3 separate regions of the Mus musculus genome follow, and regions 2 and 3 are each reported to be linked to region 1. The links are microRNA targets in miRTarBase. Many come from high-throughput screens and were not tested one by one. Region 1 holds a microRNA gene; each other region holds the end of a gene's coding sequence.
The links. Region 1 holds the annotated microRNA mmu-miR-544-5p (UCUUGUUAAAAAGCAGAGUCU, at 953-973, shown strand). A microRNA usually pairs through its seed, bases 2 to 8, with sites in the 3' UTR of a target mRNA and lowers its output. Matches are read on the target gene's strand: a 7mer-m8 pairs with bases 2 to 8, a 7mer-A1 pairs with bases 2 to 7 and ends in A, and an 8mer does both.

Region 1 (3,100 bases):
TGGCTTGGTCATGGTGAGATAGCACAGTTTTCATGACTTGGCAAATCGTTCTTTTTTTTTTTGGATGGGCAGCCAATCTCACAGATAGTCACTGGGGTCAGGCCCCGGCCCCTTGCTCAAGAGTGTGACTGGTTCCACAAGCATGTGCTTGAATGACAGAGGCCGGCGAGCTGTCTGGTCTGGATCGTGAGAGGAGGTCCTGCGGTTTTTCTCGGTGCGGTGGTTCTCTGACATTTGCAGGGTGGCTATCAATAGTGTGCTCGCCATATTTATGGAGATTAATTGGGACGACCATTGTTTGCCCCATATCTGGATTTGCTTCCGAAGGTCCTAGAGCACAGTGGTGACTTCAGCTAATGGACATTGGTACCTGCTGCAGGAGAGGGAGAATTTATTGAGGCAGAGTAACCTCAGAAGGCACCCCCCCCCCCATGTACTCTCACAGTGACAGCTTTGAGGTGGCAACAGCTTTGGTGGCTTGCTTCTTTGTGCTTGGTCTGGAGAACACTGAGAATAACTCACCTGTCTGTTGTTGCTGTTAAGTCTTAGTTCAGAGGAACTCCTTGAGAAGGTACTGGGTCAAGCATCTCTTTAGGTAGACAGAACTTGGCCAGGGTCTTCTAGGTCCAGCACCCACTCTCCTCAGCATCCATTCTGAGCATAGACTTCCTGTGGTTAATACAGGTGTTAATAAGGATACTTCCTGCCGCCGCCGCTGCCTTAAGTCACTCTCTATCTGTTCCTATGGCTTCCTTTGGGCTGACTTTTTCTTAGACATACCTGGTCAATAGCATACCATTTCAGCTCATTCCATAATCTGGTGTGTGTGTGTGTGTGTGTGTGTGTGTGTGTGTGTGTGTGTGTGTGCCTGCATGCATGCTTGTACAAATTGTTGGTTAGTGTAGGGCCTCTCAAACTGCTCAACGCTGCTAAGATATTCGTCACCTAGGGATCTTGTTAAAAAGCAGAGTCTGATTGAGGGGCCAAGATTCTGCATTTTTAGCAAGCTCTCAAGTGATGCTAATGCTGCCGGTCCGTGGACAACACATGTAGCCACTGGGGGCTGGAGGTGATGTTGCATGTTCCTTGTAGTGTGTGTGCTCCATCTCCTCCATCCACCCCGCATTATCCATCATGAGTGAGCATTGAGCCAATATGCTACCTTTTGATGATCAAACTGTGGTCAGTTGTGAAAGGCCACCTGCTGTACAAACACCATTATTGATTATTGATTATTCTTTCAAATCAAAGCATGCCTCTATGGGCTTCCCAGATATAAGAGCTACTTCAAGGAGGGGCTGCCTATGTCAGCCAACAGCAGGACTTGTCAGCACCAGGTTATTGGTGACTGAGACCATCTGACTCTGTAACTCTCCATTTCCAGTCAATTGTAAGGAGCACAGTTCTGGAACCACAGCTTCTGGGGAAGGAGGAGTCCTATCTGTCGTATCTACCAGCAACCCTCGACGTTATCGAGAGAGGTAATGCCCATGGTGCCATTGCCCTTCCATGATATTCGGCCAGCTGCTGGCTTCTTGCCATCCAGCTTACCTCTCAGGGAGGACCAGATAGACTTCCATTTTGTTTCTAAATTGACCTGCCTTAGGAAGCTCTTGTGGGAATGAGTTTTTCCGTCAGACCAGATTTTAGCCCTAGGACCAATGTGTAGCAGTGAGTGGTTGCTGTCAGCTCATGTGCTTTCTTACAGACTATGGGAATTCACCTCTCAGAGTCTAGGAATTCAATTTGTCATTGGAAGAATCTTCTGGAAGGAGAGAGGACAGTAGACAAGAGGCCCCGGTTTTCCTGTCAGAGATCTCTGAGAATATTTGAGGTCATTCATGTTCTGTTTGCTTATTGTGAACGAGACACAGTTAGCTTCCTTTTGACTATCAAACTCTGCTTTTTTGAAGGGCCCCCTGCACAAGCGATATGAGACTGCCTGCCTTGTGTGAGCCTTGGATGAGCCCTGCAGCTCCTTCGAGATGCTCCTTGGATATTCCTGATGGAGAAGACCAACCCCGAGGAAGCTTGGTCCTGCTTGCGATGAGCTTGCTGTGCTTTCACGGACACCCTTCGTTTCTTCTACCAGTTTTCAGTGCCAGGGTGCGCTTGAAAGGAGAGCTGATGCCAGGGCTATAGCCTTCCCCAGCCAGAGCATGTGGGCCAAACCCTTTCTGGATGGCTAGGCAGTGGGGAGAAGCCATGAGATGGTTGAGAAGTAGTCACAACTCCCCTGGGGACAGACTGGTTTTCAGGGTTACATCCATTCAAAAACACCCCCCGGAATTCAGGCTTGTGAAAGACAAGCTAACTTGACCCTGTTCCTTTGTTCTCACTGAGGTCCTGTCCCTGGCATCCCCTTCCTCCTGTGGACACCACTGAGGTGCAGACACTACCCCGATGGGGCTTCCCGTCCTGCTGTTCGGCTCTGGAAGAGACTTGATTCCTTTTCTTTTTGTGCTGGTGGAGATCACACACAAAAGGTAAGATGAACCCAGCTGTTTGGGATTCTGGAAGAAGGAGGTTGGCCTGTATCCCTGCTGTAAGGGAAGATGCTGTTCTTGGGCGTCTCCCTTTCAGGGATGATGCCGGTGGCGGACAGGAAGCCCAGCTCCTGCCGCCTGGATGACTCTTCCCTTGGTGGGGACCAATCCTGGATGGAATCAGTTCAAGATGGATGCCAGCTTCATACAAGAGCCCTATCAGGATTGGCCTGAGGTCTGTAAGAGTATATTTGGCCCAGGTAAATCCAGGTGCTAGGGATATCTGATACCCTATAGCACATGCACGCCATCTTTAGGGCATTTCTGAGGTCAGGATGCTTCAGCTCTCACCCCTGCTTCCTCTCTTTGCCAGAGAGAAGTGCTATCAGCTACTAAAAGTGAATACTAAATGGCCTATCTATGTCAGAGGGAAGCCCAAAGCCCAGGAAGAAATGATGGACCAGAAACAACAGGACATGCTCGTAAGGTCACAGGCTTCTTTGTTCCAGACTCTCAGCACCCAGGCTACCCTAGTGAGGTCCCCAGAATTGAATGCACGTTAATCCCCCTGCCTCAGACTTTGGGAATAGGCTATTCTGAGCTTAGAGTTCTTC
Region 2 (3,080 bases), not on the chromosome of region 1:
GTCCTCAAGCTCAGGACCAATGGAAAGTGGCATGGGAAGGGCAAGCATTAACTCTGAGCCAACCACGGTCTTAAGCCCTGTGCTCCTGTGCTTTCTGATACCTGAAACCAGTGTTCATCCACTGGGAGGGAACTCGTGTGAGCGCTAGCTTGGTGTGCTCTGAACGCAGTACCAGAGACTTCTTGATGCATTAGGAGGTTCTCCAGCTTGTCCAATCCCAAGCCTTTGTATTGTATCTGTTGTGAGTGAAGGAAGGCGAGCAGATTACCGCATTTCAGAGAATACCTGTGTCAAAATCAATCCGTTTGGATGTTCCCAAATCAACATTTAAAGATGAGGACCATTCAGAACTTTCAGAATATGTTGTACCTATTTTCTTCATGCAATTTTTCACCAACAGTGTGTATAAGATCTCAATGACTAGGATCAAACTAAGAAATATATACATACTAATCATGTTTACTAGGGCACTCAGGTAAATAGAATCAGCCACTGTGTCCATCAACAGATGCACTGAGATAAAATGTGGTACATATATATAGGAGAGTTTTATTAAGTCATAAAAATATCTGTAGGAAAATGTGACTACAGATCACCTTAACTCTCAGGAAGACAAATAGTTTATCTTTTCTTCATCTGTAGAATTGAGATTTACATGACATATGACATAGAAATAGAAGGGGAACATTATTTTTTTTTTTGCCTCTAAAAGGAAAATGCATTGTTGTTTATTTGGAACCCTGCTTGTTTGTCCAGTCTCTGAGTGATAGAGGACACCCCAGAGCACTCCAGTACACTTCCCGTCCTTACCATGAAAACTCGCTTTCCTTAGTTCATCAAACTCGAACATTAAAACAAAACTCTTTACCTTTCAAAGACTGCATGGAGTGGCAGGACACTGTCTATTAACCTGTGTGCTGATTCCTCCTCCACAACTTCATCTGTGCCACACGTAGTCTTAGATGTTTGGCGTAAAGTGTAAAAAAAAACCTTACACACAGTAGCCAAAGCTATGTGGTGTGAAGGCATAAGTGGCCAGCTTAGCATTTTAATTCGTTGCCTGTATACATAGTACCTAACAAATTTACTGGTTGCAAGGTTTTTCTCTCAAAAATAAGAATTCCTCTCATATAAAAAAAGAATAGCCCACATTTCTGATAGCTGGCAGCTACCTTACTTGCTGAGTCATGGCCATGCAGTTTGCATGCGAAGTCTTCCCACCATACAGTGCCAGATGATGCAGACCTTCGCTTTCATGTTTCCTGTTTATTCTGAAACAAATCCTCTATCTTTAACTCACTCACAGTAAAGAAAAACATAAGTCATAATTTTCCTGACTATTTTGGCAGATTCTGATCAACTAAAGGAAAAGATAAATGACCTGGAGACACAACTCAGAAAGTTGGAGCTAGAAAAGCAACATTCGAAGGTAATTCGTATTGGTGTCTAACTTTAGTATGCTCAGTGTTTTGTGAAAACAGCTTTGGGAAATAATTTTTATGATCACCATCTTTAAGTGTATAACCCAAAATTCATGGATTTATTTCACACTTATTATTTGACTCATGACAACTTTTTATTAAACAACTATCAACAGCAAAAAATCAGACAAACAGAAAGTACTAGAGAATAAATTTATTTTTAAATTGTAACCAATGCACATCTCTTAATAGTTTTTTTAAACTATTTTCTTAATTTGTGGGTCATGGTGGGGAAAGTGTTTTCTAAGTCCCTTTTGAAATTATTTTCAGGGATCTTTCCCTTAAATCATTTAGTGGTCTGGCTGCTCGTCACTGGTCTGTGTAGATGCTGTAAGCATGCACTTCACCAGGTGCTTAACCTTTCCAAGTCCCAGGGTTCCCATGATCATAAGTATTATATATAAAAGATAAAAAATTAGAACATTATAAATACTGAAAACTCTTGAATGTTGTTGTAAAAAAGCAAAGTCCCTTTCGCTTGCCTGGGAATATCTGAGGCAGTTTAAAGATTTAATCTTATAATTTAGCTAAAGATGGCAGCTTCTACATTATTCACATGGTACAACGGAACCTTGAACAGTAAAATATAAAGAAAAATATTTACATTTAAGATTTTGAGTTTTTATGTTTATAATTAAATCTAAAATTTCAAACCAAAAACATGTATCCTGTATGTAACTTTTAGGAGGAAGTTAAAAAGCTGAAAAAAGAACTGGAAAATTTTGATCCTTCATTTTTTGAAGAAATTGAAGACCTGAAGTATAATTATAAGGAAGAAGTGAAAAAGAATATCCTATTAGAAGAGAAGCTAAAAAAACTGTCGGAACAGTTTGGATTTGAACTGCCTAGTCCTCTTGCTGCTTCTGAACACTCGGAAGATGGAGAAAGTCCTCATAGTTTCCCTATTTATTAGTGCCCTCGTGTAACTGCAGGTTTAAAACTATTTTATGAGTGAAAAAAGTTTCAGCTGGAAATCAAGCAGTCTCTGTGTTATAGAATTTACAGCTCAAAATATTGTATTTTTTTTGTTTAAAAAAATCATATTTAGTTTTAACTTGTTAGAAAAGTATATTTTTGAAGACTTCATTAATTTATGACTATACAGTGCACAATGAGCTATGATAAATATTACTATTTTCATAATAACTTAAATTTTCAAAAAGCATAAAGGTAAGCTTATATCAATTTACTATTTAAAATTGATTATTTTATATTTATTTTTGTGTTAAGATAGTCAAATCCTAACGATGATTTCTATAAATACCTAGAAACATGTTTAGAAGTTGACAGGTTTTGCCAAACAGCTAGCAAAATTAAATGCAAACTATTCAGTCTTAGAAAATCACAATAATCTCAACAATTAGTTCCATTTTATACATCAAGTATTATGTCTTTGAGTCTCTCAAATTTCTGTTTATCTATTTTTGAAAACTGATTAAACAAAGACTGGTTATCAAAAGCACAGTCATAATTGTTCAGGTTCAGGTTCATGTTAATAATAACTGGTTTGGAATTCATGTAAGTATCTGGAAGTGGCCAGCATAAACCAAGATGGTGACGATGGACCTGTAAGGAGAAAAAAATGATGGTATTAACTTT
Region 3 (3,080 bases), not on the chromosome of region 1:
GCCAGGGAAGGACGCCCCGCTGCAGCCCAGAGCCTCGTTCAGGAAGCCTAGCGCCAAGCCCCTCAGAAACATCCCCAGGCAGAAACCTGAAGAAAACAAGGTCAGCAGCCCCAACTCTCCTGACCCCGAGAGTCCCAAGGAAGAGCCCAAGGCTCCTCAGGCTACGGGTGTCTCTCGAGCCCTTCCCCCCATCCCAAGTTTTGCTCGAAATACGGTGGCCTCGTCATCTCGGAGCCTGCGAACGGATGCTCCACCCGCGGCCAGAACCACTGGCCTCACCAGGACAGTCTCCCAGCGGCAGCTTAGGGTCAAAGGTGGCTCCGAGGATTCTGCCTCCAAGGACATTGGCACTTTGAAGAGGGCCAGCAGTGCTCGGGCCTCCAAGAAGTGTCCTGAATCTGCTGGGGGTTCAAGTGCCAATGTAGAAACCTCACTGAAGGGCAGAGGGACGACGGAAAGATCCTCTCTCAGACTGAAGGACTCGGGGCAGGCCACCCTCGGGAGGATCCTCCGTCCCCTGCAGAAATGATGACGCCTGTCTGCATTTCTGCCTTGTGGGATGTTAGCTGCTGGGACTGGCTGCTGCGGGGGGAGGACACAGAGGCCAGTCTTAAACATCTTGTTACACATCGAGCAACACACTGGTGCCACCTGCTTAAAGGTCACGTCACTAAAGGTACAAGGAGAGCTATAGCCTGCTGTGCAGACTTCTGCTTCGAAATCAAAGCTGAGAGTATCCTTATTCTGCACAGTACTTTGTCAGGGGCTGGCACCTCCTGTCACTCATACTCAGGACCCTATCCCTAACTCCTGCCCCGAGACAAAGATCCAATAATAGTCTGGACATGTAAGATGACAATTCTTATGTAACAAGTAAAAAAAAAAAAATTCTGGCCAGTTTTTATATATCAAAGACTTATTTTTTAATATTATAAAAATAAAAAAGATGTTTTAGTTCCTTTTTCAGAGTGAAATGCCTCCCAGGAATGGGGGGATTATCCTTAATATGAAACTGTTTGTACCTTCATCCCCACCCCCTGCCTCGGGGTTCCATCAGCGTGTATGTGGGAGAACACACACCATACCTAGCCAGGGGTGGCCTCTCACAAGCTCTTGGGTGGTTGTACGGTTGAGGCTGTCTCCTTGAGAACTTTCTGGCTAGCTAATGTGTGGGTTCTCCTCAAATGACTCTGGGTGAGGATTTCATGTGAATAGGAGGGACGTCAGATTTGTATGGGTAAAAATCTGATGTTACTGTGAGTTTAAGGGGGCCCCAAGGGTGTGAGGCCCATGGCGGGGAGCCCATGGCTATAGGGAAGTTTTCCCTGAAGATAGGAGCAACTGTGTAGGGTGCTGGATAGGGTGCTTGGTGTAGAAGACAGCAAGGGCTGCCCAGCTGAGTAGGTCCTTCCCATGTGTGCAATGGTGGCCACTCGCTTCTGTTAGCTCCGGGTGGAGAGGGAAATGACCCTTTTTGTGGGTCAGGCTTCCTTCTCTTCTGGGGCCTCAGTACCCCACCCCCACCTGCTATTCTATTTGATTTTGCTTTTAGAGACATTGTGAGACCTAGTCTAGGCTGGCCTCTTACTTGCAATCCTCTGCCTCAGCTTCTGAGTGCTAGGATAACAGGTACAAGGCACCAGGCCCAGCCTAGGGATACTGCTTGGTGTCAGCCTGTCTTCCTTGGTACAGCGCTTCTCAAGTCCAACTGAGAGAAGCCCAGTCATGGTTGTTTATTTTAAATAGACTCTTACCCCCCAAGAAACACTGACTTCTGACTTCAGGAATCTTAACACTGGGGAAATCTGTGCAGGAGATAGGCATCGTGCAAACAGAAGTTCTTACCCAATGCTCTTTTTACTACTTCTCTATTAAACCCAGGAAATAGAGAAGAAAGTGGGGGGGGAAGCTTGAAATAAAAGCCCTGCCCCCTTCTTTCTGAGTCACTTCTTAGTGAAATCTCACTTTAGATCAGACACTGGTGACTGGGTGGGCTAGGTCAGCGTGTCACACTGTGAGGTGACTGCGGAGGCTGCTATGGTCTCTCCTTTCGGGAAGCCTCTCCATCTTTGCCTGGGAACTGAGCTGCTGTCCCTGAGCTGCAGCAGTTGAACAGTACAGTGGCAGAGATAGGCTGCAGTCACCACCTCTTGTTAAAAACAGCCCTGAGCAGCGATGTCTGGGCAGCTAGGAAGCCCTCAGCAATCTGTCCCCCTCTGGAACCCTCCAGAACCAGAAGGCCTGTGGGTGGGTGGGAACGGATGAGAGACGACACGTGCTGACAGGTTTGTGGATGGTGAATTGAGTAGCCCCGTGGGAGGGCCCAGGGACCCATCCTGTGCCGTATTCCAACACCGCTTTCGTTCGGTACAAGCGTCTACTCTCCCTAAGTGTCTGTCTCCCAGCCCATAGAAGTGAGTCCAGCCCTTCATGATGGTTTCCAGGAATCGAGCTACCCAGTCACCCTGTGTCTGTTTCTGACGTGGCTTCTAGGACCCTCAGCAGAGGCTGGGGAGCCTCCGGAGAAGCCTGTTGGTATGGTGCTGTCAGATCACATTGGCTGCGTGCTTGGGAAAGCAGTGGTGTCGCCGGCCCTGTGCACACGTGGGTGGGCAGGTGGGCAGTCTCTTACTACCTTTTATACACTGTAAGTTTGGGAGAATCATCTATGCAACAGAGGAATGTCAATGCCTTTCTACATGCGTTTGTTGAGGATGCGCTGAATGCATTTTAAGGTCCTTTTCTACGTACTTTATGGAACAGGTAGTCTTAATAAAGTTGTTTGTAGGAGTTATACCTATGCTATGCCTTTGCACATGTGTCTTAGTTGTCCTGCCAGGAGAGTCTTTAATCTCTTTCCCTGAAAGAAGGTGAGGTGTGGGAAGAAAGGGGGAGGGTATGGAAAACTTGTCCTCCAAAGGTTCGAGAGTCAGAATAAATTTCTATTGGCATTGGTTCCATACAACACACACAGGACCAAGGGCTCGGGAGTGGGCTTTGCTGCAGGCCTGTAGGGATGCAGGTTTATCTCACAAGCCATTGCCGGAACACTTGATGCTCCTTGGAGCTCTTGTTCCAGG

Region 2: the mRNA of 4930430F08Rik is a reported target of mmu-miR-544-5p. Seed matches in the 3' UTR shown: 7mer-m8 at 2,536-2,542.
Region 3: the mRNA of Fhdc1 is a reported target of mmu-miR-544-5p. Seed matches in the 3' UTR shown: 7mer-m8 at 868-874.

What each region holds. Positions count from the first base shown.
Region 1 is chr12:109,728,383-109,731,482 of GRCm38, forward strand. It overlaps Mir544 (microRNA 544), which reads left to right and starts at 943; the gene lies at 943-1,020.
Region 2 is chr10:100,570,714-100,573,793 of GRCm38, forward strand. 4930430F08Rik (RIKEN cDNA 4930430F08 gene) reads right to left here. Exons shown (of 7, transcript NM_175128.2): 7 at 1,561-3,047. The coding sequence ends at 2,853. Cep290 (centrosomal protein 290) reads left to right here. Exons shown (of 54, transcript NM_146009.3): 53 at 1,350-1,429; 54 at 2,167-3,080. The coding sequence ends at 2,394. Among named protein-coding and RNA genes, the nearest start is that of 4930430F08Rik, 17 kb to the right of the region's middle.
Region 3 is chr3:84,441,916-84,444,995 of GRCm38, reverse strand. Fhdc1 (FH2 domain containing 1) reads left to right here. Exons shown (of 12, transcript NM_001205355.1): 12 at 1-2,800. The coding sequence ends at 529. Among named protein-coding and RNA genes, the nearest start is that of Fhdc1, 36 kb to the left of the region's middle.